7 linked regions of the Daphnia pulex genome follow. The protein of the gene in region 1 purifies or fractionates together with the protein of each later gene. This does not show direct contact. Links are inferred from orthologs where the notes say so. Each region holds a gene or a part of one and is shown in the gene's direction. Other genes may lie near its edges. The genes, in order: small nuclear ribonucleoprotein Sm D1-like, pre-mRNA-processing factor 19-like, splicing factor 3B subunit 3-like, splicing factor 3A subunit 1-like, splicing factor U2AF 50 kDa subunit-like, splicing factor 3B subunit 6-like and splicing factor 3A subunit 3-like.

Region 1 (2,983 bases):
GAAAAACGTTATCACCTGAACCATATTTTGAACCAAGGTTTGAAGCTATGAAATTACACTTTATTTAAAGGTACTTTTGATTCCCAATTTTGAACTTTGAATTTAATTCTTGGGACTTCTTAATTAAGGATTTCCGCTTTGCATTATCGAGTTGATTCAGTTTTAAATCTTCATCACGATCAAAAGGTTTTCTTTCTTTAGGACCGGACGAGTTGTCTTTCTATAGAAACAAAAATCTTACTTCAAATTACCCCAACTTTAACAGCAAAAATAAAAATGTAGGATTACCTTGCTTTTCATTTCCTTTTGATGTGTCTTCAACAAACTCTCTGACCTCTTCTTGGATTTATCATGCATGGCCACAATTTTCTCAAGCTTCTTATTCCTTTTTTGTTCCAAGTATTGTTTCCTCATTTCAGCTTCAAAATCCTCATCTTTTTCTTTGGATGTACTAGGCTGCTAAAATTATATTAATTAAATTATAGAAATTAGCAATGACCAGCTAAGAAAATTTCATTATATGTGTATCTATTGTACTATCTGAACCTTGGAAGTTGGTGTTGAAGTCCATTGATCTCTCCCTACAACCTCAGGTTTGTCAGAACGATTAAAGACACGAGGTCCCAGGCCAAAGTTTTTCCTTTTCAGTTCTGGAAGCTCAATCATCCAATCTTCTCTTTTTGGTTGCTTGTTGGCTTCATCATCATCCACACCAAGCAACTTCCTCTTCATCTTAAGAGCCCGCTGTTCAATGTCAACTGATGAACTATGTTCAGCATCCATACAATCAGCTGGCAGTGGTCCAATAACTTCATCATCTGATGAAGAGTCAACTTCATGATTAACAGAGCATCCTCTGTCATTGGAGATATTTGATTGCACTAACTTGCTGGACACTTTCTGTGATTTTAAATGAGCGGGAAGTGCTGGTCCGTAGAGATCACCTTCATCAGAATCTGAATCATCATTTTCATACGCTGTTTGAAGATGAGGAGGTAATGTTGGTCCGATTCGAGACATTTTGAGAGGGAAAAATTAAAACCACGCGGGAAATTGAGAATGCGTTACCGACAAAGAATTATTTTTAAAAAATCGAAAATAGGTGAAACCGAAACCCAATGTTTAGCTTACTGGAAATGCTGTTATAGTATGCAGGCCTGTCTCATGTGTTTTCTGTTTTGGAGTACGTTTTATTGTCACTCATGTCATGCCACTTGTGTTCTATGCGGTTCTATGATACGCTTCGATAATGCTTCTGGATTTATGAATTTATTTTGATAAATAAATTTAAAATAATAAAAAAAAATTATTATTAGTTAATTTTTGATTAAAATATGCAAAAATAAACCTTGTCTAATAACAAAATTCAAAATATTTGCGTAGATGGCGCTACGTTACAAGTACAAAAATCATAGTCATCGACCGTTATGAAATATGAAATGTCACAGGGCCTTTTTAGTATAAGTTATGCTTCCAACAAGCAGTTTTGGTTTTTGACTAGCGTACCTCGTGCGTTTCACTAAACTAAGGATTAAAACATTCAATAAGTCGTATATGGTGATTTACTTTATTACAGCCATCAAACAACAAGTTTATCAAAAATGAAATTAGTGAGGTAAGTTTCGGAATATGTTCATTGTCAAGTAAATTCGTACAGAAAGTAGCCACAAAAATCGGTTTGGTCTGGGTATTAAGCCGGTTGTTGGATGCGTCTGGGAAACTATGCCGTTTCTATATTTCACAACTTAAATAGTTCACTGCTTTCAATTGAAATAAATACCATTATTTTGTATAATCCTTAGGTTTTTGATGAAACTGAGCCACGAAACAGTCATTATTGAATTAAAAAATGGTACTCAGGTTCATGGAACAATAACAGGTAATTCAATTTTGTTGTCTTTATTCGATTTTTTATTTTACTGCAATCCTTAAATACTTTCTTCGAAAACTTAGTGAAATTGCAAACACATAAGTGACATTTTAGAAGAAAAGTTTTCCGTTTTGTATATTACTAAATTCATTCATTTGATTATGTTTTATAGGAGTTGATGTTGCTATGAACACTCATTTAAAAGCTGTGAAAATGACAGTTAAAAACAGAGACCCTGTTCAGCTTGAAACTTTGAGTATTAGAGGAAACAACATCCGGTACTACATTTTACCTGATTCACTTCCTCTTGAAACCTTACTATTGGATGATTCTCCGAAAGCCAAGGCCAAGAAGAAGGATGCTAGCGGTAGAGGTAAACTTTTTTCCCCTTATCACTGTGTTCCTCTTTTCATTTTCTTTTCTTTTTTTAGCTCGTGGAAGAGGCCGTGGACGCGGAGCTGTCAGAGGAGGACGTGGACGAGGACGTGGACGTGGTGCTACTGGTCCTCGACGCTGAAATTTGTAATTTCCAACGATTTTCCATTTTTTTTTTCGTTCTTTTCAGCAAATGTGGAATCAGTTTTCATTTGCATTACAAATTGTCATTGTCTTATATGTTTTTTGGTCAGTTGAAAAGTCCTTAAAACAAACACTTTTTTCCCCACAGTTGAGTCTGTATGAGAATTATTTATCAATTCCAATTGACTCCCATGTAAGCATAGATAATTTGTAGAGAACCGTCAATTCCTTTTCTTGATTTATAAGCGGACATCGCATAACGTTTCCTTGCTTATTTCAAGAATATTGACTATTCTTGCCATTTTGTCAGAGGAGTCGGGGAAAAAACAAGTGTAAAGAGCGGTGTAATAAGTAATGAAAGTTTGATGGAAATGAAAGTTAAATTACTTTTCTATTAAATTTAGACTAAAACTATTCAATTTTTTGTGACTAAACCATTAAACTTTAATTTAAATTAAGAATGTCGCAAATTTAAGGAAAACTTGACATGTTTAAGAACAGTCGTGGCTACAAGTTTTATTTGCTTTTGTAACTTCAGTTTAAGAGGTATTTGCGTTTAAGAGGCTTTCGGCGATATCTGCTCCTAATTTTCTA
Region 2 (4,104 bases), on another chromosome or scaffold:
GTAATTCGCGGAAACTCTTTCACATGAGCAGTAGAAGTAAACGTGGATAGGAACTTAGCCATTTGCTTACCTATAGGAATAAAATAACCACACTATTAAAGTTAGCAAAGTTATCAAAAAAGGAATCCATCGAATCTTCGGAATATAACCACTTACACTTGCGTCATACGTTATGTAAGGACGTTCATAGTTTATTTACGCTGTTTTAATTAACTTTAATACCCACTAATTGAGGAAAGTGACTCACCTCGAGATTTTTTCTTTTCTTGGTCGTACATGATAACGACTTCAGAGACCTTTCCGTACTGCGAGAAGAAGTTACGAAGATCTGTTTCTGTCAAGTTTGATGGAAGCCCACCTAAAAATACTTTGTAACCATTTCCTGTACCCATACTCCGGCGAGGAGCGCGTACCATTTCGGCACGTGGATTACAAGGTTTGGGGTCAATCTGCATAAACATAAAAATATGAGATCATAAAAAACAACCAAAAATGTAGAAAGAAATCAAATATATATCTCAAGTTGAGATATAAACTTCAATTCCTTCCACTTCTATGTAGCAATACCGCGAAAGGAGATAAAATTATGTTAAACATTCTATCACCGCTCAGGTAGTGCAAATAAGAGTATGAAGAAAATATAAAAACTTACTGTGCGATTATCGAGTATATGGGGTGTGTTTTGTAGTACTAAACCAACATTGTTAGGATCAGCAAATGTAATGAACCCAAACCCTCTCGATCTACCAGTTTCTGGGTTCTTCATTACCACACAGTCAACAACTTCACCATACTGACTGAAATATCGAAGCAAATTATCGCGCGTCGTTTCCCAGCTTAAACCTCCGATGAACATTTTACTAAAAAAACAAGATTCGTACCAAAAAATAGTAAATGGACGCAAATCATGAAAAGCTTAGTGTACGGCGTCATGGATTTACATTCTCCCATGAACTTCACATGTCATATTATAAATGGAAAAAATTTCTTACCCTTGTTCATTCGAATTATCACCACCTTCTTTTCCAGGGAATTTTTGTTGAGAGGCCATTGTTCAGTTTAAATTGAATATAACAGTAAACGAATCTTTCAAATTTTCGAGGAGTGTTCGCACTGCGCTTGGGTTGGCTTCTTCAGTTGAGAAATGGGGGAAATGGCTGGCCCGGCATTTCAGTCAGTTTGCACCGTTGCCTGGACACTTTTTCTAGTTGAAAACTTGAAACTTAAATTATGAAATTATTACTTATAAAAAACTATGCTGTTTCTTTTACACATTCCAATAAAAAAATTTCTGAGTCTTAAAAAAATGATTGGATTTTGAAAAGAAAAGAAAACTCGCACTGAGGAATGAAGCGCTTTATTGAATAGTGTAGTCTAGCAACTGTTTAGCCCTAAGCGAAGCGAACATATGCATCTTGGCTTGTCGCACATTTTTGTGAAAAGTATATAAAAAAAGGTTACACGCTTCATCATGGCCCTCTGTTGTTCTCGTAATATTACATTTTCATTATAAATATCAATTTAAAACCAATCCATTCTTCTGAGAAATTTGATATTTAATGTCTTATATCTCTTGCTTATATAGTGTCGAACGAAGTTCCCGAACATCCTGTGGTCTCACCGGTGTCAGGATCTGTGTTTGAACGTCGGCTGATTGAAAAGTACATTGCTGATAACGGGGTAGATCCCATCAATGGGAAAGAAATAACTGTAGATCAACTTATTGAAATCAAAAGTAAGAAATTTTTTATCAAAGTTCCACAATGAATTTACATGTAATTGAAATTTTGTTTCTAGCCCCCCCAATTGTTAAGCCTAAAGTGCCATCTGCAACAAGCATTCCCGCCGTGCTTAAGTCTTTACAAGATGAATGGGATGCTGTCATGTTAAATTCCTTTACTTTGAGGCAACAATTACAAACTGCTCGACAAGAATTGAGGTATTGACCAACTTAATTACACATGGAATTATTGTGCAAACATTCTCTTTCTATTTGTAGTCATGCTCTCTACCAACATGATGCTGCTTGTCGTGTTATTGCACGCCTCCACAAGGAAGTGTCTACAGCACGGGAAGCACTTGCAACTCTTAAGCCCCAGACTGGCTATGCTGCTGTATCTACACCATCTGTTGCTGCCTCAGTAAGAAAGCATTATGATATTTATTTGTATGTTATTTATGATAAATTTACTGATTTGATGTAAGGCTGAAGCGGGTGGTGTGGCAGCACAACCGATCGAGGCAGCTGGATTAACTCCGGAAATCATATCACAATTACAAGATAAAGCCACTGTTCTTACTCAAGAACGAAAACGTAGAGGCAAAACCATGCCCGAAGGCTTAGCTACAGCAGAAGCTTTGAAGGGATATAAAACTTTGGCATCTCATCCGGTAATGACATATAATTTTGAAATGTTATCCCATCTTCATGGATTGATTACATATAGGCTTTGCACAGTGCAAGTATGCCCGGAATTTTGACCATGGACGTTCACGCCGCCGATACTTCTCATATTTTGACTGGAGGTAACGATCGATGCGCTACAGTTTTTAACAAGGACACTGAGCAGGTTGTTGCTGTTCTCAAGGGACATACAAAAAAAGTTACCAAGGTGCTTTATCATCCAGAAGAGGTAATTTCATGTTTTCTTTTAATTTTCTCTTGATTTACTTTGTTATATGATACTAATATACCCCTTGAATCTGTTATAGGAAGTCGCGATAACAGCATCTCCTGATGCGACGATTCGTGTTTGGAATATAACCGGCTCCTCACAATCTGCCATCATCCGTGCTCATGATGGCCCTGTCACAGGCTTGTCGCTCCACGCAACCGGAGAATATGTTTTGTCGACGTCACTGGATCAACACTGGGCATTTTCAGACATTCGCGTTGGGCGGTTGTTGACAAAGGTTGCCGACACAGACGGAAATCCGCTTACGACAGCCCAGTTCCATCCAGATGGTCTCATTTTCGGCACTGGAACACAAGATTCACAGATCAAAATTTGGGATTTAAAAGAACAATCTAACGTGGCCAACTTTCCAGGTTTGGCTCTTTTAAAATAATCTTGTGATAAACATTAGCTTTACTATTACCATTTTTACAATTACAGGTCATTCCGGTCCTATTGCGGCTTTGTCATTTTCAGAAAATGGTTACTATTTGGCTACAGCGGCAGAAGACTCTTGCGTCAAATTGTGGGATTTACGGAAATTGAAGAATTTTAAAACAATTCAGCTCGACGAAGGATACGAAGTTAAGGACTTGTGCTTCGATCAAAGCGGCACCTACCTTGCTGTGGCTGGTACCGACGTGCGTGTTTATCTCTGCAAGCAATGGGAAACTCTTAAGACTTTTAACGACCATACAGCATTGGCTATGGGAGTCCGTTTCGGCAACCATGCGCAGTCGATAGCGTCTGTGAGTATGGATCGTACGCTGAAAATTTATGGCATCGAGTGATTCACTGTATTCAATGTTGAGAGGGGATTTTTAAATGAACATTTTTCGTCTTATCCTTTTTTTTGCTGTAAGGTGTGCAAACCGCATCGAACTCTCGCCCTCACAAAAATACACGCGTTTCATTTTTCCCATCAAAAACAATTCTACGAGTGTATATCGATAGTTAAGTTTCCCGCGTTACTATCGATACATTAAATAAAACAAAAAGCTTCGAAATTTTGTCACTAGTGGCGTGGCAGTTCGCTTGGCATTTTCGCTTTCTTGAAGCATATCCCAATGGCGGCTTAGGCAATCGATGCATCGGCCGCTCCTTCGTACAGGGGTTTATGTATTTGGCCTAAAATGCCGGTCGACTCTTGTAAACAAGGAATAGTGAGATCATACTACGTTAATTTCAAATTTCATAGTTCAAATTCTTCATATTGGATTGCTATCCTGAATCAAGATTTTTCCAGATAAAGTACGAGGTAAGTCGCCCAAAAACAGTTCCTTCAACCGTCGCTTCTATCAAGTTGCATTGTTGCATCTTTTGTAATTGGAAGCGTGGTTTTGTTGAATGAATAAAATTTTCTGCCCTTCAAAAAATTTGTCTTCTTTAATTTGACGCATTTTTTTTTCTCCCTAAAGAGTTGACACAA
Region 3 (4,243 bases), on another chromosome or scaffold:
CGCGTACATGGCTTATAGCGGTTGCAGCATGTTATATTACGGAACAAGGGGATTTCATACCGCGCCCAGCAGCGCCTTATCTCAACGCATTTATGACAGTGTAGAAAACTATAATCTCATGCTGTTCCCGACGACGACGAAAGTTGGCCCAAAACTACCGACTGCTGATATCGCGTATACAACAACAACAAGTCGACGATGTTAAATTCCAAACGTCGAAGAATTTCGCTGCGGCTATCTTTTGGAAGATGCTGCAATAAAGGCTGTTCCAAAGAATGCAAGGACAACATCAAATTCTTCGTTTTTTCTAGTTTCGTTTTTTTTCAAACCTCTAAACTTGTTCTTAATAGGAAACATCAAAAGTCAAGAGTTGATTTCCGACTGCAAGCCGTTCCACATTCCATCACTGGCGACAGAGGACGAGTTAATCGGTAAAGTTCGGGAACTCGATTGTTTCAGTCAATATGAATTGAATGACTCGAAATGAATTCAACGGTACATTATGAATTGAAAAAAAAAGATAAGTGCTTCAACACCCTTATTCGTTATTCCTTACCGCACCGCAAATAAAAATTTTTGAATAAGAAATTTTAAAAGATAGACAAGTTCGGGATGCTGAGTTGCACAACCGCAAAATTAGGATCGTGCGCCAACGAGTTTTTGTAACGTTGTGGGGATAGTAGAAAGCGGGTTTTTTATTATTTAAGCATAGAATTACTTATCTAATCTTAGAAATGTTCAGGATTATCGTTGTTTAGAACATTCTGCTTTTTATAGAGTAATTTTAAATGTATAATTCAGCTTAGTTTACCCATTAAAATTAAAGAAAGTCCAAGCCTGGGATGCTGTTTAGTCTTTTCTTGTGTTTTTTGACAGATCTGCTGACAAGTGACAAGCTCAAACACACAAGAAAAGACTAAACAGCATCCCAGGCTTGGACTTTCTTTAATTTGAATGGGTAAACTAAGCTGAATTATACATTTAAAATTACTCTATAAAAAGCAGAATGTTCTAAACAACGATAATCCTGAACATTTCTAAGATTAGATAAGTAATTCTATGCTTAAATAATAAAAAACCCGCTTTCTACTATCCCCACAACGTTACAAAAACTCGTTGGCGCACGATCCTAATTTTGCGGTTGTGCAACTCAGCATCCCGAACTTGTCTATTCAAAGCGTGGCTGCATGGTGGTTCTAGAGAGAAACTCGCGCGCATAGCAAGGGATCGGAATATGAACACGTCTTTTGAATTACTTTATGAGTAATAAAAACAGCTGTGAATAAATCATTCTTGATTATCACCACTGAAATTTTTTATTAATTTCACAATTTTATTGTATAATGCATTATGAAATCGTTCTATAAATAATAATAATAATTTAAAAAATCTTGTGATAAAGAAAGCGCAAATGCATTGAAAATGCTGTGTTTAGGGATAGACCAAGTAGAGAGTCGATGTCAGATGTTCAAAAATATTGCCTATCACACAATGCACGAGAAGTCGAACCCTAAACTCGAGCGCGACGCCGGAGCCAAGAGAGATTTCACTCAACCTTTGCTGAATTTTCCATCATGGAAAATCTGTAACATCCACAGGTAAATTCAAGTTTGACTACACATTTTAGTTCCAGATAGTTGAAAAGCAGTTATTTTGATGGTTAAATGTGTGTTTTTGGCGATGTTTAAAATATTGAAGCATGTCAATTTGAAAACCTTGCCGGGTGAGATGCCGGGGCTGTAGTTTCTTTCGCGTACTCGTCTAGCTATTAAAGAAAAGAAAACCCCTTACAACTTTACCGCCTTTCTGTGAATTAAGTTTGGTGGCTATACATGAGGGGGACATTAATTTTCAAATGGTGTGTAACATTGTCATTAAACATGTTGGACAAATGTAAGAATTATATCTGATAACATTTTCGCAGGTGATGCTCATCTAGGCAGTTCAAGTTACACATTGGACACGTCAACTTGAAAGAAAATGTATCTTTACAATCTGACTCTGCAGCGTGCCACTGGCATCATTCAGGCAGTCCAGGGCAACTTCAGTGGCACCAAGCAACAGGAGATTGTCATTGCTCGTGGAAAGGTACTCGAAATTGTGAAGCCGGATCCCAACACTGGCAAAGTACACACACTTCTCAGTCAAGAGGTTTTTGGAATCATCAGGTCAATCATTAGTTTCAGGCTTACTGGAGGAAATAAGGGTGAGTTGTGCAAATATAATTTTTAAAACATACATCCTGCTAACTTTCATTAATTCTGTATTTAGATTACCTTGTGGTCGGATCAGACTCTGGGCGAATTGTCATTCTTGAATACAATGCTGCCAAAAATGTGTTTGATAAGGTGCACCAAGAAACGTACGGCAAAAGCGGTTGTCGTCGGATTGTTCCTGGACAGTACATGGCAATTGATCCCAAAGGCAGAGCTGTTATGATCAGTAAGTTTTGATCCGTTTTTAATTTAAATTCTTGCAAGTGATGAGTTACGTTTTTATGTCTTCTTTCCCCATCTGAGAAAGATAATGCTGATATCTAACGTTTTTACTGAGAATTTTTTAAAATCGAAATCTTGTGGCTTGAGAGTGCGCATTGCTTTAACATTTATGTTTTTTTTTTGCATTGCAGGTGCTATTGAGAAGCAAAAACTGGTCTACATTCTGAACAGGGATGCCCAAGCCCATTTAACCATTTCTTCTCCGCTGGAGGCTCACAAGTCAAACACTCTAGTTTACAACATAGTGGGTGTTGACGTGGGATTTGAAAACCCTGTATTTGCTTGTTTGGAGATGGATTATGAAGAGGCCGATGGTGATCCAACAGGCGAGGCGGCACAGAAGACGCAACAAACGCTTACATTCTACGAACTCGATCTGGGTTTAAACCACGTCGTTAGGAAATATAGGTGCGTAACAAATCTTGGTGATTTTGGTTTTGCCTGGTTGGGTTTCAAAACCCCTTAACTTTACTGCTCTCTTGTCACTTAAAGATTGCAGCTATACATAAGGGGGACATTATCTATCATAGTGTGTAACATTGTTGACTTATGTGTGACAATGTAAGAAATATTTTGATGAACATATCTTTACTTTAATAGTGAGCCGTTGGATGAGCACGCCAATTTCCTCATCACTGTTCCTGGAGGAAACGACGGACCTTCCGGAGTTCTGGTTTGCTCCGAGAACTACATCACATATAAGAATTTGGGTGAACAGCATGACATTCGTTGCCCAATCCCCAGAAGAAGGGTACGTTTGATCATTTCATTATGTTATTTGGCGCGCGGTATCTCCAGCCGTGTTCTATACACGTGCTGGTCGACTAGTGCCTAAACTATACTTGGAGATGTTTGCATCGTTGGATTGTAATGCGCATATTGCATGCTGTCCTGGAACGAACCTCCGATAAGTTATTTATTCCATGTATTGAGGACGGTAGTAATAAGTTTTTTCTCTGTAGAATGACTTGGATGATCCGGAAAGGGGCATGATTTTCGTCTGCTCGGCTTCCCATCGCACCAAGGCCATGTTTTTCTTCCTTGTCCAAACGGAGCAGGGCGATATTTTCAAGATCACCATGGATATGGATGAAGAGGTGGTGAGAGAATTGAAAATCAAGTACTTTGATACCGTTCCAGTTTCGTCCAGCATGTGTGTGTTGAAGACAGGCTTTCTATTCGTCGCATCGGAATTTGGAAATCAGTTAGTTTTCTTAAATTTTTTTTTCTATTTGCTGAAATGATGTGTATTGTCATCCGTGTTTCACCTGAGATAACACTTTGATTATAATTTTTGACTCTGATTTCGGTTACAAAATTTGAAGTAGTTTTATGGGTTTTCAAGTGTATTAATTTTCCTTGTGTTATTAGTTATCTTTACCAGATTGCTCATTTGGGGGATGATGACGATGAACCCGAATTCAGCTCTACTATACCATTGGAGGAAGGAGATACTTTCTTCTTTGCTCCGAGACCTTTGAAGAATCTTGTTCTCGTGGACGAGATGGAGTCTTTATCTCCAGTTCTGGCCTGCCATATTGCTGATCTCGGTAGGTTTGATAATTCCTCCTGTTTTGAAAGGTTTTTAACATTTGTTTTCAATTTACAGCCAATGAGGATACACCCCAGTTGTATGCACTTTGTGGTAGAAGTTCTCGTTCGTCTCTTCGTGTTCTCCGTCATGGATTGGAAGTATCGGAGATGGCTGTTTCTGAACTTCCCGGTAACCCCAATGCAGTGTGGAC
Region 4 (4,278 bases), on another chromosome or scaffold:
TGAAGGCGCATTCAATTCTGTCCTGTCATTCAATAACTGAACAGAACAGAACTAAAAAATCTAACTAGACCATGGCTTCCGAAAGATATAGTTTCTCCCTAACAACTTTCAGGTTTTCTATCATTTACTTTCTAAGTTTTGACTAAATATAACATTTATTTTCATTGTTTAGTCCTTCTGGAAAACTGGTACAAATCGAGTATGCTTTGGCCGCAGTAGCTGCCGGTGCTGCATCAGTCGGCATTAAAGGTATATTGAAATTTCAGCATGTAAAAGATTGTAACAATGTAAATAATGTTATGTTATAGCTGCCAATGGTGTCGTTCTGGCCACTGAGAAGAAGCATCGGTCAATCTTATATGAAGAACACAGTGTTCACAAGATTGAAATGATTACCCCCAAGATCGGTATGGTCTACAGTGGAATGGGTCCTGATTATCGCCTCTTGGTTCGTCAAGCAAGGAAAATGGCTCAACAATATTGGGTAACTTATCAAGAACAGATACCAACTGCCCAGCTTGTCCAGCGTGTTGCTACCCTCATGCAAGAGTACACACAGTCTGGGTAAATATTTGGTTTTGTCACAAAAAAATAGTTCTTAAATAGTATAGATGAACATTTCAATGAATTTTTGTAATGCAGAGGTGTCAGGCCATTTGGTGTTTCACTCTTGATGTGTGGCTGGGATGAAGGACGTCCATATCTGTTTCAGTGTGATCCATCAGGAGCCTACTTTGCCTGGAAAGCCACTGCCATGGGAAAGAATTACATCAATGGCAAAACTTTCCTCGAGAAAAGATACAATGAAGACCTCGAGCTCGACGATGCTGTCCACACTGCGATTCTTACTCTCAAAGAGGGTTTTGAAGGAGGCATGACAGAAGATAATGTTGAAATTGGTATTTGTAACGAGCAGGGTTTCCGCCGATTATCTCCCGCTGAGGTTAAGGATTACTTGGCGAACATTGCCTAAACGGCTCGAAAATTCTTTGATTTCAAACAAGTGTCGAAAAATAAATCTGATGGTTGCTTAATGAATTTTCTCTTGGATTTTAAAAACAAAATTCCTTTTCTTTGTTCATTGCTAAACAATCATTTTCCTACTATCTTCACTCAAATTGCCTGTTAGAAATCTTAAAATCTATCAGATAAAAGATCTAAAAGATCCAGTCATAATTCCTCAATCAGTTCAAAGTGGTTGTATTTTTTATACTTGATCATTGTTGTTTAACGTTCAAGTTTATTCTAAATTCTTACTACATACTTTCTTCATTTCTTGTATCGATTCAAACGAGCAAACAGATGAATGAACCGAATGAACTATGAATTTGGATATGATTTTGTTTTGGTACTTGACATATATTAGTGAATTCCGTATAATTCAACAGTATAGTTCAAGGGATTCTTTTTCTGAATTGAACTAATAGCAGATAAGAGTTTAACAATTTTTTCTAGGTGGAAAAAAGTGGGAAGAAGTCGGAATCGGAATTCGGAAGAAGTGGGCGCCACACTGAAATTAAACAGTCTGACAACATTGTAGCGGATAGACAGCAACGTTTTGTTGCGTTCTGCTGTTAAAGCCGGAACAGAAAAACGCTATTTAACTCACATTTTAGAAATAGAATCAGTTTTTAATTTTGACGTGAGAATCTGACAATTTCATACATCAGAATAGAGTTTGATAGTCAGCATGCCACCTGCTGTGGAAACATTGCCAGTTTCTGGTGAAGTAAATATGCCCGAGAATGCTTCTACCAAGCCTACTGTCGGCATCATTTACCCACCTCCTGAAGTCAGAAGTAAGTTTGTTGTCAACTTACAAGTTCGTGAATAATTCATAACAATTTTCTTCTTAGATATTGTGGACAAGACAGCCAGCTTTGTAGCCAGAAATGGGTTGGAGTTTGAAGCACGGATTAGGAAAAATGAGCAGAATAACCCAAAATTCAACTTTCTTAATACTGGAGATCCTTATCATGCATACTACCAGTACAAAGTTAAGGATATCAGAGAAGGAAAGCTTGCAGAAGGTGCACCTGCAGCAGCACCTGTCCCAGGCCCACCGGGAAAACCACCACCATCAGCCCCTACATCAGCACCAGCTTCGTTGGCACAGCAGCAGAAACAGCAAGAAATTTTGAAACAATTCCAGCAAGAAGCCCCTGTAATCCCAAAAGAGCCACCTCCAGAGTTTGAATTCATTGTTGATCCTCCATCGATTTCAGCCATGGAATTGTGAGTTTTTTAAATAACTATTTAAATATTATGAAGCTAAAACTTAACAACACTTGTGTCTTATTTCAGAGACATTGTGAAACTCACTGCCCAATTTGTAGCTAGGAATGGTCGCCAGTTCCTCACAAGTCTGATGAATCGTGAGGCCAGAAATTATCAGTTTGACTTTCTGCGTCCTCAGCACTCGCTTTTTCAATATTTCACTCGTCTCCTAGAACAGTACACCAAAGTATTTTGATTGGTAGATTATTTTGTTTGAATGAAAGTCTAAATGATTTTGTTATTCTTTAGGTTCTTATCCCACCGAAAGACTTGATGACCCGTTTGAACGAGGGTTGCACTAATACTAGCGTTGTCTTACAAGAAGTCAAACGACGAGCCGACTGGCAACGTCATCAAGAGGCTCAGAAACGCCGAGAAGAAGAAGAAGCTGAAAGGGAACGCGTGTCATATGCGCAAATTGATTGGCACGACTTTGTAGTCGTCGAATCAGTTGACTATCAACCATTCGAAATTGGTAATTTCCCTCCTCCCACAACCCCAGAGGAGGTCGGTGCCCGTATTCTTCTCCAGGAGCGCTACGAAGAAGGACAAGATGTTGAGATGCAGCTGGAGAGTGAAGAGGAAGACGATGATGAAGAAGACGATTCAGACACGGAACAGACAAAGCCACCACCACCACCAGGCGCACCGCCCTCTCAAGCCATCAAGGGAGATGGACTACAGCCTCCTCCAGTGGCTCCTTCTGCCGAAAACGTCATCGTGCGTAAAGACTACAATCCCAAAGCTGTGGCAAAACCACAAGCCCGTCCGCCTGCTCCAGACGAGTACCTCATCTCACCCATCACTGGAGAGCGAATTCCGGCTAGCCAAGTGGCTGAGCACATGCGTATCGGTTTGCTGGATCCGCGTTGGTTGGAGCAGCGCGATCGACAAATGCAAGAAAAGATGACTCAAGAGTCTGTGTACGCGCCCGGATCAGCCATCGAAAACAGCTTGCGAGCATTGGCTGAACGTCGTACAGATATTTTCGGTGTCGGTGACGAAGAGACAGCCATCGGTAAAAAGATTGGTGAAGAAGAGCGTCGCAAAGACGAGACCAAATGGGAAGGACAACAACCGCCTGCCCCGCCACCATCAGGTGGAGAGGGAGGATCAACGTTCCAACCCCGACCTGGTCCACCTGCTGGCCTGGTTACCATACAAGAGCAGATTGCGCAGATCCACAAGAACAAGGCGCTCATGACTGGCATGAGCGAGGAAGAAGATGGGCTAGGATCTAATGGCGTTGTAGCAGCAGCGCCACCTAAACCTCCACAACAATTAATGAGCATTCCACCAAGACCACCGGTCATGATGTCTGCTCCGCAGCCGCCACCCATGATGATGATGTCCATCCCTCAGCCGCCAATGCCAATGCCCATGGTCCCCCAGAATTCTTTCATGACGCAGATGCCTCAGTCTATGGGCATGATGCAGCAACAGCAGCAGGGTCAGGGTGGTCGAGATGTCATGGAGGAGGAGCCTCCTTCTAAACGACAGCGCAACGAGGATCAACTTATGCCTGAGGAAGCCTTTTTGGTCAGATATCCCGGTCTGCTCCACTTCCATATTGGTGCACCAGTTTACGCCGAAAAACCCGAGTGGAGATTGCAGGGCCAGCAGCTCAGCTTTTCCTTGTTGCCCACGGAACCAATCTCCGTTGTTAAGCAGAAGATTAGTGAAGCGACAGGAATGCCGCCGGCCAAGCAAAAGCTCTTTTGGGAGGGGCTCTACTTCAAGGACAATCATTCTCTGGCATTTTACAATGTTACCCCCGATGCTGTTGTCCAGCTTCAGGTGAAGGAACGAGGCGGTCGTAAGAAGTAAAAAACAATTCTGGAAAATCCTAAACCATCAAAAAACCTCATTTACATCAGTACGGACCTTGGGGGATAATTACGTAATCGGAAAGCATTTTACAACCATTTTGTCTCTCCCTCTGCTACACTGTCATCGATTCCTTCCTGGTCTCAGAAATGGAAATATATTCAACTTTTCTCA
Region 5 (4,097 bases), on another chromosome or scaffold:
GGTCTTCCCGAGTAACTGCAAGAGCCACGTCTAAAATGCGTCCATCTAACTGTAAATATGGATTTCGAGACTCTTCTAAACACTTTTGAGCCGATTCCGAATCCTAAAAATGGTTAATATGAAAAGTTATTAGTATGTATTTATTTTTGCAATAATGCAACTTACTCTAAATTTTACGAATCCAGTGCCCTTGGGTCTCTCCATAATTTTATCCATACACAACAATGCATAGTGAACACTGCCAAATTTTTCCATGAAATTTTTCAACGAGTCTTTTGTGGTTGAAAAGTCCAAATTTCTGATAAAAAGAGTCTTTCCTTCTGCTACATCACTCTTCTTTTCTATTTCAGAATTATCACCCTTCCAAGCTTCTTCTTTTTTTGGACTTTCTTCTTCACCGGAACCATTCTCAACTTCAGAATCAGAAGCTTCTCCATCTTGTTCTTCTTCATCATTATCTTCTTCTTCATCATTACTTTCTTCATCATCAGATTCTTCATCTTTTCTGTCATTTTTCTTCTCTGGCGGCTCAATGTTTGGAACTTCGTCAGTTTTATTATTTAAAGTGGCATACTGTTGTTTTGGTATGGCCCAATCAATAGCTATTTGCCTTCCTACAAAAAAAAAACAATTGATAAGCTATTATCAAATTTAAAATGTTAAAATTTTCTTACCAAGAAATGGTTTTGCATTGCATTCTTTGATTGCTGTAGCCGCACATGGAACTGTTTTAAATTGAACAAAACCACAGCCAACTAAAGTGCCACCAGGTTTCTTTAATAATTTCACATCCTCAATTTCTCCATATTTCTCAAACCAGTTTTTAACAGCTTCTTCTGTTGCCTGTTAATAAATTAAATCAAGTACTAACTTACTAACATACTAAAAGTAGCATAAATTAAAGTTTCTTGGCTTACTTTGAAAGATAAATTGCGAATAATTATTCTTCCTCTTTTATTGGGTGGTCTCTTCTTTGATGTGTTTGCTTTAGTAACAATAGAAGCTTCTTTTTTAACTGAAGAGTGATTCATCTTTTAAATCTATCCAAACACGTGCTTGTCTGTATAACTGATGTAGCTAGTCAAGCAGACGATTATATGTGTCAAAATGTAGCATAGACTGTTGTCAATTGGCAAAATGACAACTAATGAGGATTAACATGAATACAACAATTACTCAGAAAATAAATTTTATGTGGCTATTATTTTATGAAATATTTAATCTTACCTTTCAGTATATTAATCAAAACCAAGTTTGAAATTGTAAACATTAAATCGACGTTGCCGGTACAAGGAGTCAATCGAACCTCGTCTCCGACGCCATTCGCCCATTCCCAGCCTTTAATCAAACCGGCTTACAGTCTTAGTGAAAATTTGGACAATAATTAACTGTTTTCCTCTGCTGTGTTTCTTCTTATTGTCGTACAAAAGCTAACAATCACACGTTAATCATGGGAGAAGATAAAGATGATCGTAAAGGTATGTTTTAACTTCTCTAAACTACTTCTGTCAATATCAACTATAATGCTTTTGTAATGTTCTTAAGAGTCTGTGATGCTTAAGAAAGAAATGTTTAACACACATTACTTACAAGTAATGGGTGTTTAATGATCTGGTTGTATTTTACACATAATTTCATAACTTTTAATGGTTTATAATGTTGGCTCGTGGTTTTGCTTTTGTATGGAAATATTAGTCATAGTAGTTAGAAGGTAGTCAAGCAAGTAAACTTACTTGTTTGATTTATTAACATTTGAAATACTTTAGTTGACAGGGAGAGAGATCGTGACCGTTCCAGAGATAAGGAAAAGGACAAGGAAAGAGACAAGGATAGGGAAAGAGATAGAGACAGGGATCGTAGACGGTCCAGGTCTCGTGACAGAAAGAGAAGGTCTAAATCTAAGGAAAAGGAGAAGGAGAAGAAGCGTAGCAAGTCCCGTGAACGTGAACGCAAAAGGAGTCGTTCTCCTGTTAAAAAGCAACGCCGAAGAAAGCCGTCTATTTACTGGGATATTCCTCCTATTGGTTTCGAACACATCACACCCATGCAATACAAAGCAATGCAAGGTATAAATCCTTATTCAAGTTTCAATTTTAATGTGCTAATTATTATTTTCTTGAATCTACGTAGCTGCCGGACAAATTCCAGCTAACATAATGACGGAAGTAGCCCCACAAGTCCAAGTACCAGTAGTGGGTAACACAATCACTCGTCAAGCCAGGAGACTCTATGTTGGGAATATTCCTTTTGGAGTTTCTGATGTACGCGCAGCGGAGGAGGAAATGATGGATTTCTTCAATCAACAGATGCATTTGTCTGGTCTGTCTCAAGCTCCAGGTCATCCCATTTTAGCTTGTCAAATTAATCTGGATAAGAATTTTGCATTCTTGGAGGTTTGTTGGATTGTTTTCACGTGAAACCTAGTATTTTAGTGGAATATTTAAATAATTTTGCTCTTTTACTTTTCAGTTTCGGTCAATTGATGAAACTTCCCAGGCCATGGCTTTTGACGGTATTAACTTTAAAGGTCAAACTCTAAAAATCCGCAGACCCCATGATTATCATCCAACACCTGGTGGTGGCGGCGGAGGAGGAGGAGGTGGTGGTCCCGAAACAACGCCCGGCATGAGTTCTGGTGGTATAACTGAAAAGAGGGCTGGAGGTGGAGGTGGTGGAGGAGGAGGAGGCACAAGTAAGGACGACTTAAAGTGATTCTTTTATGGCAAATTTCTTTAATGTATTCATTGTTTTTTGCTCAGTGAGCACGATCGTCCCGGATACACCCCACAAATTGTTCATCGGTGGACTTCCAAATTACTTAAACGAAGAACAAGTAAGTTACCTGTTTCGTCGATGTGACTGTAAAATGTGTTTTCGATTGGGAGAAGAAAAAAGAGTGAGAGAAATGGGATTTGTGAGCGTCTAGTTGAAGCAAAATCGATTCTGATGAATGTCTTCTTCTTTCGTTCTCCCTAAACAGTGGTCACGTGATCCTTAAAACTTCCTACCCATTCCAACCACACAACCTCGATCCATCTCCCCACCGTCGATCCCTAGATTGTTATTTTTGAAGGTCGACTCTAGGCACGCACGCAAATTGTCTCATTCGAATTTAGGTAAAGGAATTGCTGATGTCTTTTGGACAACTTCGAGCCTTTAACTTAGTTAAAGATACGGCTACTGGCTTATCCAAGGGATACGCTTTCTGCGAGTATGCCGACGTCACCGTCACCGATCAAGTAAAGTAGACCATGATAATATTCCTTGAAAAACCATTACATCTAATTTTATTTTTCTTTCAGGCTATTTCCGGATTGAACGGTATGCAGTTGGGAGACAAAAAGATCATCATCCAGCGAGCCAGTGTTGGAGCCAAAAACGCCGCTGCTTACGCCCAGATGCCAGTCCAGATTCAAGTACCAGGATTCAATCTTGCTGCCGGTCCTGGCCAACCGACAGAGGTACAAAAATCAACCTTGTCTAATGCGACAATTTTTAATTTCATTTTGGTCTTTTCTTTTGCGTAGGTTCTATGTCTGCTGAACATGGTGACACCCGAGGAATTGAGGGACGACGAGGAATATGAGGAAATTGTGGACGATATTCGTGAGGAATGCAATCGTCATGGAGCCGTACGTTCAGTCGAAATTCCCAGGCCGTTGGAGGGTGTCGATGATGTACCGGGAGTTGGCAAGGTCTTCGTCGAGTTTATTTCGGTGAGCGACTGCGTTAAAGCCCAGCAGGCGCTGACAGGTCGCAAGTTCGCCAATCGTATCGTCGTTACGTCATTTTACGAACCGGAACGCTATCACCGACGGGACTTCTAAGCCATGACGGCTTCTGTCATCAGACAAAAAGTAATCCGCAAGATATGCCCCTTCTTTTTTTTTTTTTTTTTACTTTGATGAAACAAATAACGTCATGACGAACCGACGCTTGATGAGAATAAACGGCCTGATGCGTACGGGATTTCCCTTGATGAATTTGATTTTCTTTTTCTTCAGTTTTTTTTTGTCATTTCTAAATGGGTTTTTCGATATTTTGCATCAAGTTTGTGTTGTCCAACCTCTTTGTTTGGCGTGTCGGTGAAAAAACAA
Region 6 (2,469 bases), on another chromosome or scaffold:
CTTAGTTTCGTCAGTTGGATTTTCCCAATAATAAACCTCGGGACGATGAATTTCTTCAATGTACAAGAGCCCACCGATAAGGGATTCCAGTTCGTCCGATTTATGTAGATTTAAATTAACAGCCTACAGACAACCGTATAACAAGATAAGAAAAAAGAAAAAGAAATCAAAGCTGCATAAAGTGTACAAACCCTTAAAAAGTCTTTTTCAAACTTGTATGCACCTCCACCTGTGGCACAAATGGTTGTGGACAGAGAGGCAAATCCTTTAGATTTTGCTAGCTGCAGAAATTGCTCCATTTCAGAGGTAGGAAATCTGATGAAATGTAATGTTCCTACTCTGTTTCCCATTGGAATTGAACTCATCTGAAATTTGAAAATTATACTGAAATCAATTTCTGATAAAATAGGAAAGATTAGAAGATGTAAACACCTGCAGATGAATGTCTCGGTGCCCTGTCTCTCCATAAGCATTGTTACTAGTGAGATACTTTTGAATGTTGTGTAAGGTTTCAATTTCTGACGAACTTACATTCTCTTCCTCAGGAGCAATGTCAGTTGGTTCAAAATACACTAATTTAACTAAAGTTCCACCTATATCCATTCCAAACCAGGGCATGCTAGCTGTAGAATAAAAATAATTGTTTATTATCACAACTAATTGATTAAAAATAACAATACTTACGAGAATGAACAACTGTGGAACTTGAATCATGGCCATTTGTTACCCTGTTTTCTACACTATCCATTGTGCGACCATATTGTGTTTCGTGATCAGAAGACATCTGTTAATGTGCAGAATTTCAATGTGCTTTCTTTAGTTATATCCCAGCAATTCTTTATTGTATGCACAGCACCGGATGAAGCTTAAAAATCCCTTTATTTAATTGATATCGGAAGTAGCGAATCAGTTCAGTTTACGCGACTCGAATAGTGGCCATCTGCATCATATCTTGATATTCGAACCAATAGAAAAAGGAATTCGGGTCGTACGATGTGGAAACTTTTCCCCTTTCCTTTTCTCTTATTTGAGTATGCTATTCCTCATTTGACACAAATTCGTCTGCTAAAACATCAGCATTGCCAAAATATTAAAATGTGAAGAGTAAATTGAGCTAGGAAAAGATTTTTATGAGATATATATACATTTTTTTAGTATTTAATTTGAATCAAATTTTCTAGTGCATAAAACCAATTAATTGAATTACACGAAAATAATGTTTTGTTTATTCTGTCAGCTCAGAATCGTCGTCTGCTATGCAGCCATTTTGAATACCAAGCGGCGTTCTTATTGTCAAGTTCACGAGCACAGTTTTGAATTGTATTGATCAGTGATTTCGTTGTTTTAACTGAATTTTACTCCTAACAATGGCGATGGCAATGCAGAAAAAGCTAAACGTATGCAATCATGTGTTAATTTTTTTTTATCATTAGTAGTTTATTATATTGAGTCAAGATTGTTGTGCATCAAGATTTCCATGTGAGCATTTCTTAAATATTTTTATTTTTCAGGTGAGGTTACCTCCTGAAGTAAACAGAATCCTATATGTCCGAAATCTTCCCTATAAAATTACATCAGAAGAAATGTATGATATCTTTGGAAAATACGGAGCTATTCGGCAAATCAGAGTGTAAGTAGAAATTGATAATATATGTTAGCATCAATTGTAACTCATTTGATTTGATAGAGGGAACACTCCAGAAACCAGAGGAACAGCTTTTGTGGTCTATGAAGACATTTTTGATGCAAAAAATGCTTGTGATCATCTTTCTGGTTTTAATGTCTGCAATCGTTACCTTGTAGTACTCTATTATCAACCTACAAAGGCCTTCAAAAAGGTTGACACAGACAAGAAGAAAGAAGAGATAGAAAGCATGAAGGCTAAATTTGGATTGAATGATGAATAACATGTAAATTGACCTCATTTCTCATTGTACAATTTGGTATAATAAAAAAACCATTTTCACTATGTGAATTGTAACCAGTATTGACCCTTTTCCAACCAGTGTAATTGTGAGGTATTCCATTGTAATGGAATATCAAATATGATTTGCACGAGTTATTACAACTCAAAAATGTTTTTTCTAAAAAGAATATTCACGAAATATCCGGCTTTCAAGAATAACAGATTTGTAGGCACAGTAAACAGACAAACAATTGCACTGCAGCTACTGAACACAAAATTATTTTCAAGCCAGTTTTACTGGGACTTCATGGAGACCAATTTTCGACTTCTGTGCTTTGATTCGCTCCGGTGAGATGTATATTCAAACCAGATAATGTTAGGGATTAATGTTTGATCTCTCACCAATAGCCATTCACACACTCTCCTAAGAAATAACAATGAATATTGCATGTTATCGGCATGGAAACACTTTTGAGGAAAACTAACCATGATGCAACAGTTGGGAACCACGGCGTTAGAGCGAATTGCGTAAATAAGAACCACGAAACTGCTAAAACAGATCC
Region 7 (4,143 bases), on another chromosome or scaffold:
ATGTTGGATGATCTTGTTTGCTCTTGGGCTGTTTCAAGCTTTTTCTCTCCTCTGACTCTTGTTGGAAGAGTTGAAAGCCGGGCTTTTACTTCTTCTTCTTCTGCAGACTCACGCTCGCGCGAACAATACGCACGGAGAACCTGGAAAGAAAGAAAACAACAGGAAGAAATTAATGTCAGACAGACAGACTGGGGTTGTTGCTGGTGGTGTAGAAGAGATTCAATAGCATATGGTCAACAAAATCTAAAGTACACAGATGGTCAGCATGTGGGCACATAGCTAGAGTGATGGGATTCTATATGTATATGTGAGTTGTCGAAAGGCCAGAGTGACTTCCCAACACATCCTGTCCATTTGGCAGGGTGCCGTCACAGTTTAGCGAATGCATCAGGGTTGATCGAAAACCAAGACATTCCTTTTGAAATGTCAAGAGGAGAAAAAATAAATTACGGTTGAATGGAAAGAATACAAGGAAGGAATGGTGATGTCATGGCTGGCCCGTACATTATTTCCAAACCCAGAGAGATGAGCATTCATTCAGACACCTGTATTTCAACATGAGCCTTGAGTGTCATTGATAGGGAAAGGATGAAAATAAGGGAGGGGGGAATGCTTAGGGCAAACACTCGAGTCAAGAGGCCGAATCGTTTTTCGATTTTTCACGATTCCCAATGGCGAACACACCAAACACAACTCAAGAAACACACACACACACCACGCCTATTGTTTGAACGACGGCCACCTGATAAACAAACATCAAGTTCTTTTCGGTTTGGATGTGTGGATATACACTAAAAAATGTTAATCAGATTAAATGTAAAAGAATAAAACAGAAATAAGTACTGTTGCGTATACGTGAAAACCACTCTCTCGGGTGACAGCCACTTATAACGCACTGAATCGGCGGCGGCTCTCGACCGTTGTTGGCCCTCAGTATACCTCCCCTCTTCGCTCTTCTGCAATATGGCTACCAATAGCTTAGCTCAGCTTTTTTTTCTTTTTTCTTTTTATTTCGATTTTCAAAGACTTCGCTCCATCCCTCTGGCGACACTAGGAAACATTACCGTCCTGAGTCCTGACAGCAAAAAAATGCTCACATTTTCTTGGAATGCAATGAATGAAATTGGTTTTTAATGATTAGGAATAAATTAAAATTTTTAATTAAGCTAGAAAATTTATTAAGCTGTGTATATTGAGAAGGTAAATGAATCAAAATTTAATTTTAAGGGGTTTACACTTTACAGTCTTGTAAACATGAAATGAGTAACAAATCATCAAATTTAAATTTAGACAATATATTCTTTTATTTTAACGAATTGTACCATTTTAATAATTAAAAACATTATAATTAAAAAAGTGAAAATAGTTTTTGCAAAAAATCGATAGAATACTTTAGTTCTTACAACGGCCACCAGTTTGTTTTCCAAGCCCAAGCATTGTGATTTTTGCTCGTTTATTGCCGGCTTGTTTAAATTTTTTTATTTTATCATACAATTCAATTCATTAAAACCAATGGAGACTTTGCTAGAGCAGCAGAGGAGATATCATGAAGAAAAAGAGCGTATCATCGACTCCATGGTCAAGGAAACAATCTTCAAAAAGACCACTCAAAGGGAGATAATCAACTCGGAACACCGTCAGAAAATTTTGCTTGACGTATGTAAACTTTGGCTCATACAATTGAACAAACAACTCTTAATGTCGTATTTTGATAACTGTAGAGGTATATGGAGAGTACAAGAGTTTTGAAAGAGATCTATGAAGACAAGGACGGACAGCGCAAAGAGGAGGTGGCACTGCTCTCTGGACCAAATGAATTTGTGGAATTTTACAACAGACTAAAACAGATCAAGGAATTTTACAAAAAACATCCAAATGAGGTATAAAACACATTCATTTTCTTTAAGTGTCATTCAATAGCAGTTGGTTTTGTTTCACAGATTGCTGTACCAATGTCCATGGAATTTGATGAGTTTGCCAAACAGAGAGAGAGTGGAGCTGACGAAACAAATAGTAGGTTATATCTGACAGAAAGCACAGTCATATAAAGCTAATGTAATTTGATTTTCAGATTTGGTTGACTTTACCGATGAGGAGGGCTATGGCAAATATTTGGATCTTCATGAAAGCTATGTGAAATACACAAATTTAAAAGGAATTCAGGTCAGTTTATAGATTGAAACAAGAAACAAATCGAAAAAAATTAACACAGTTATATTTCTTACAGAAAATTGACTACATTAGCTACCTTAATATGTTTGACCGTCTCTTTGATATTCCCCGGGAGAAGAAGAACGCTGAATACAGAAACTATCTACAAGCATTGGTGGATTATTTAGTCGATTATGTTGCTCGAGTAAAACCAGTCATGGACCTTGACAACTTGTTTCATGAAATCGAACAAGATTTCGAAAAGGACTTTGTAGCGGGTACATTTCCTGGATGGCCGGTAAGTCTATTTACGACTGTTTCTATTTTCTGTCCAACCTAACTAACGCTGGCAAATTTATAGAAAGAAACAACCGGAAGTGCTTTGGCAAACGCAGGTGCGGCGTTGGATATTTCAGCCTTTTCATCTTGTGAGGAATTGGCATCTCTAGGACTGGATCGTTTGAAATCAGCATTGATAGCTTTGGGTCTCAAGTGCGGTGGAACACTCGAAGACCGTGCCAAAAGACTCTTCAGTACAAAAGGTCTGTCGGTAGATGAAATTGACAAATCTCTCTTCGCCAAAGGCCAGGGTAAAAATCGAGGTGCTACCGAACAAGATAAGGAAGCCGAAAAACAAAAGAAGATTGCCCTTCTGGAGGCTCAAGTTTATAAGTAATTCCATTTAAATTATTGAATGAAATTGAATGAATAATTAATTGTGAATAATTCATAGACTGATTGAGATCTTGTCTGAACCACGGCATGCTACCAAAGAGAACGTGGAACGTAAACAGGCCCGAACAGATGGGGAACGAGAGGAGGAAGAAGAAGACGTTGTCGAGGTATAACTTAATTACTTTGACATATTTCCTTAAACTTTAAATTCTCAACTGCCATTTTCAGGTCCCCGAGGATGAAGATGAAGACGATGACGTCCCTTACAATCCCAAGAATTTACCACTAGGTTGGGATGGAAAGGTATAAATGAACCAACATTAATAATTGTGTAACTTTGTTCTAATCTTATCGATTCATCTCTTATCCAGCCCATTCCATATTGGCTTTACAAATTGCACGGCTTGAACATCAGCTACAATTGCGAGATTTGCGGCAATTACACGTACAAAGGTCCAAAGGCGTTTCAACGTCATTTTGCCGAATGGCGTCACGCTCACGGCATGCGGTGTCTGGGTATTCCCAACACGGCCCACTTTGCTAACGTAACACGAATCGAAGATGCAATTTCACGTAAGCTTTCAGTTTATTTTTGTTTTTCCTGTCCCCTACCGATTAATAATAAAATTCTAATTGAAACTTCAGTTTGGACAAAATTGAGAAGCCAGAAAACGTCAGAACGTTTCGTCGCCGATCACGAGGAAGAGTACGAGGACTCGATGGGCAACGTCATCCCCAAGAAAACGTACGAAGATTTGCGTCGACAGGGTCTCTTGTAAAGAAACATGACTGGAAAAATAAATCTTATAACTTCGTGCGCGGTTATATTTTTATTCCATCACATTTGCACAGAGGAAGCGCAAGCTCCTTGGTTGTTGTCGAGTGTCACTGTAATATTGGTAATCTTAATCTATGTTTCGATTTATCACTTTGTTGTCAACTTGTATTACTGAATCATCTTCCCATCACAAAACTTTGCTCAGATGGAGTTTTTCGTCATTCGTCTCAATTCCCAGCTCATCGACATGTCGAGAAAAAGAATATGGATTAATGCTTATGTGTCACTGATTTCCGTCGATATCCTCATCGATCAGCTACTTTTAGTATACTTGCATTTTAACACACTTAAAGTATATACCACCTTACTATAGGTATGTAATCTTAATCATATTCGAATTTTAAACAGTCATCTTATAACAAATATTTAAAACCTCTGAGCAATCACGATATTGAAAAGGCACCCCAAGCTTTAATCACTTGCTTATAATTGAATTTGTCTTTAATTGATAACATCTGTATTTGAAATATCGAAATGGC

What was found.
Region 2: the proteins of small nuclear ribonucleoprotein Sm D1-like (region 1) and pre-mRNA-processing factor 19-like fractionate together in Homo sapiens (co-fractionation; 3 studies listed by BioGRID). This does not show direct contact. The link is inferred for Daphnia pulex from reciprocal best matches to the Homo sapiens genes SNRPD1 and PRPF19.
Region 3: the proteins of small nuclear ribonucleoprotein Sm D1-like (region 1) and splicing factor 3B subunit 3-like fractionate together in Homo sapiens (co-fractionation; 4 studies listed by BioGRID and IntAct, with this or other methods). This does not show direct contact. The link is inferred for Daphnia pulex from reciprocal best matches to the Homo sapiens genes SNRPD1 and SF3B3.
Region 4: the proteins of small nuclear ribonucleoprotein Sm D1-like (region 1) and splicing factor 3A subunit 1-like fractionate together in Homo sapiens (co-fractionation; 4 studies listed by BioGRID and IntAct, with this or other methods). This does not show direct contact. The link is inferred for Daphnia pulex from reciprocal best matches to the Homo sapiens genes SNRPD1 and SF3A1.
Region 5: the proteins of small nuclear ribonucleoprotein Sm D1-like (region 1) and splicing factor U2AF 50 kDa subunit-like fractionate together in Homo sapiens (co-fractionation; 3 studies listed by BioGRID, with this or other methods). This does not show direct contact. The link is inferred for Daphnia pulex from reciprocal best matches to the Homo sapiens genes SNRPD1 and U2AF2.
Region 6: the proteins of small nuclear ribonucleoprotein Sm D1-like (region 1) and splicing factor 3B subunit 6-like fractionate together in Homo sapiens (co-fractionation; 3 studies listed by BioGRID and IntAct, with this or other methods). This does not show direct contact. The link is inferred for Daphnia pulex from reciprocal best matches to the Homo sapiens genes SNRPD1 and SF3B6.
Region 7: the proteins of small nuclear ribonucleoprotein Sm D1-like (region 1) and splicing factor 3A subunit 3-like fractionate together in Homo sapiens (co-fractionation; 3 studies listed by BioGRID and IntAct, with this or other methods). This does not show direct contact. The link is inferred for Daphnia pulex from reciprocal best matches to the Homo sapiens genes SNRPD1 and SF3A3.

The regions. Positions count from the first base shown.
Region 1 is NC_060020.1:8,496,612-8,499,594, reverse strand, and holds small nuclear ribonucleoprotein Sm D1-like, read left to right. Parts: upstream 1-1,452; 5' UTR 1,453-1,601; coding exon 1,602-1,615; intron 1,616-1,802; coding exon 1,803-1,879; intron 1,880-2,042; coding exon 2,043-2,243; intron 2,244-2,301; coding exon 2,302-2,387; 3' UTR 2,388-2,483; downstream 2,484-2,983. Other genes in the region: GPALPP motifs-containing protein 1-like, read right to left, coding at 65-220, 289-459, 547-1,020. UniProt on the Homo sapiens protein: Plays a role in pre-mRNA splicing as a core component of the spliceosomal U1, U2, U4 and U5 small nuclear ribonucleoproteins (snRNPs), the building blocks of the spliceosome.
Region 2 is NC_060022.1:3,394,092-3,398,195, forward strand, and holds pre-mRNA-processing factor 19-like, read left to right. Parts: upstream 1-1,358; 5' UTR 1,359-1,471; coding exon 1,472-1,490; intron 1,491-1,585; coding exon 1,586-1,735; intron 1,736-1,797; coding exon 1,798-1,939; intron 1,940-1,999; coding exon 2,000-2,141; intron 2,142-2,205; coding exon 2,206-2,391; intron 2,392-2,447; coding exon 2,448-2,633; intron 2,634-2,712; coding exon 2,713-3,049; intron 3,050-3,116; coding exon 3,117-3,466; 3' UTR 3,467-3,604; downstream 3,605-4,104. Other genes in the region: heterogeneous nuclear ribonucleoprotein 27C-like, read right to left, coding at 248-449, 653-860, 993-1,051. UniProt on the Homo sapiens protein: Ubiquitin-protein ligase which is a core component of several complexes mainly involved pre-mRNA splicing and DNA repair. Required for pre-mRNA splicing as component of the spliceosome.
Region 3 is NC_060019.1:9,348,446-9,352,688, forward strand, and holds the start of splicing factor 3B subunit 3-like, read left to right. Parts: upstream 1-1,443; 5' UTR 1,444-1,598; intron 1,599-1,924; 5' UTR 1,925-1,980; coding exon 1,981-2,206; intron 2,207-2,271; coding exon 2,272-2,442; intron 2,443-2,629; coding exon 2,630-2,906; intron 2,907-3,098; coding exon 3,099-3,249; intron 3,250-3,460; coding exon 3,461-3,702; intron 3,703-3,869; coding exon 3,870-4,048; intron 4,049-4,107; coding exon 4,108-4,243. UniProt on the Homo sapiens protein: Component of the 17S U2 SnRNP complex of the spliceosome, a large ribonucleoprotein complex that removes introns from transcribed pre-mRNAs.
Region 4 is NC_060024.1:13,065,697-13,069,974, forward strand, and holds the start of splicing factor 3A subunit 1-like, read left to right. Parts: upstream 1-1,478; 5' UTR 1,479-1,690; coding exon 1,691-1,799; intron 1,800-1,856; coding exon 1,857-2,235; intron 2,236-2,304; coding exon 2,305-2,464; intron 2,465-2,526; coding exon 2,527-4,104; 3' UTR 4,105-4,278. Other genes in the region: proteasome subunit alpha type-2, read left to right, coding at 72-112, 173-249, 309-564, 643-973. UniProt on the Homo sapiens protein: Component of the 17S U2 SnRNP complex of the spliceosome, a large ribonucleoprotein complex that removes introns from transcribed pre-mRNAs.
Region 5 is NC_060018.1:5,213,018-5,217,114, reverse strand, and holds the start of splicing factor U2AF 50 kDa subunit-like, read left to right. Parts: upstream 1-1,297; 5' UTR 1,298-1,450; coding exon 1,451-1,478; intron 1,479-1,766; coding exon 1,767-2,066; intron 2,067-2,130; coding exon 2,131-2,393; intron 2,394-2,469; coding exon 2,470-2,692; intron 2,693-2,759; coding exon 2,760-2,833; intron 2,834-3,116; coding exon 3,117-3,239; intron 3,240-3,302; coding exon 3,303-3,461; intron 3,462-3,527; coding exon 3,528-3,827; 3' UTR 3,828-4,097. Other genes in the region: RNA-binding protein 28-like, read right to left, coding at 1-103, 166-614, 675-843, 918-1,031. UniProt on the Homo sapiens protein: Plays a role in pre-mRNA splicing and 3'-end processing. By recruiting PRPF19 and the PRP19C/Prp19 complex/NTC/Nineteen complex to the RNA polymerase II C-terminal domain (CTD), and thereby pre-mRNA, may couple transcription to splicing.
Region 6 is NC_060019.1:12,853,526-12,855,994, reverse strand, and holds splicing factor 3B subunit 6-like, read left to right. Parts: upstream 1-1,237; 5' UTR 1,238-1,367; coding exon 1,368-1,397; intron 1,398-1,511; coding exon 1,512-1,630; intron 1,631-1,687; coding exon 1,688-1,907; 3' UTR 1,908-1,969; downstream 1,970-2,469. Other genes in the region: pantothenate kinase 3-like, read right to left, coding at 1-123, 192-365, 433-623, 685-784; dolichyldiphosphatase 1-like, read right to left, coding at 2,201-2,330, 2,393-2,469.
Region 7 is NC_060028.1:1,227,920-1,232,062, forward strand, and holds splicing factor 3A subunit 3-like, read left to right. Parts: upstream 1-1,399; 5' UTR 1,400-1,512; coding exon 1,513-1,656; intron 1,657-1,721; coding exon 1,722-1,880; intron 1,881-1,940; coding exon 1,941-2,013; intron 2,014-2,071; coding exon 2,072-2,163; intron 2,164-2,227; coding exon 2,228-2,449; intron 2,450-2,512; coding exon 2,513-2,823; intron 2,824-2,884; coding exon 2,885-2,993; intron 2,994-3,054; coding exon 3,055-3,129; intron 3,130-3,197; coding exon 3,198-3,399; intron 3,400-3,471; coding exon 3,472-3,605; 3' UTR 3,606-3,643; downstream 3,644-4,143. Other genes in the region: moesin/ezrin/radixin homolog 1-like, read right to left, coding at 1-140, 716-757. UniProt on the Homo sapiens protein: Component of the 17S U2 SnRNP complex of the spliceosome, a large ribonucleoprotein complex that removes introns from transcribed pre-mRNAs.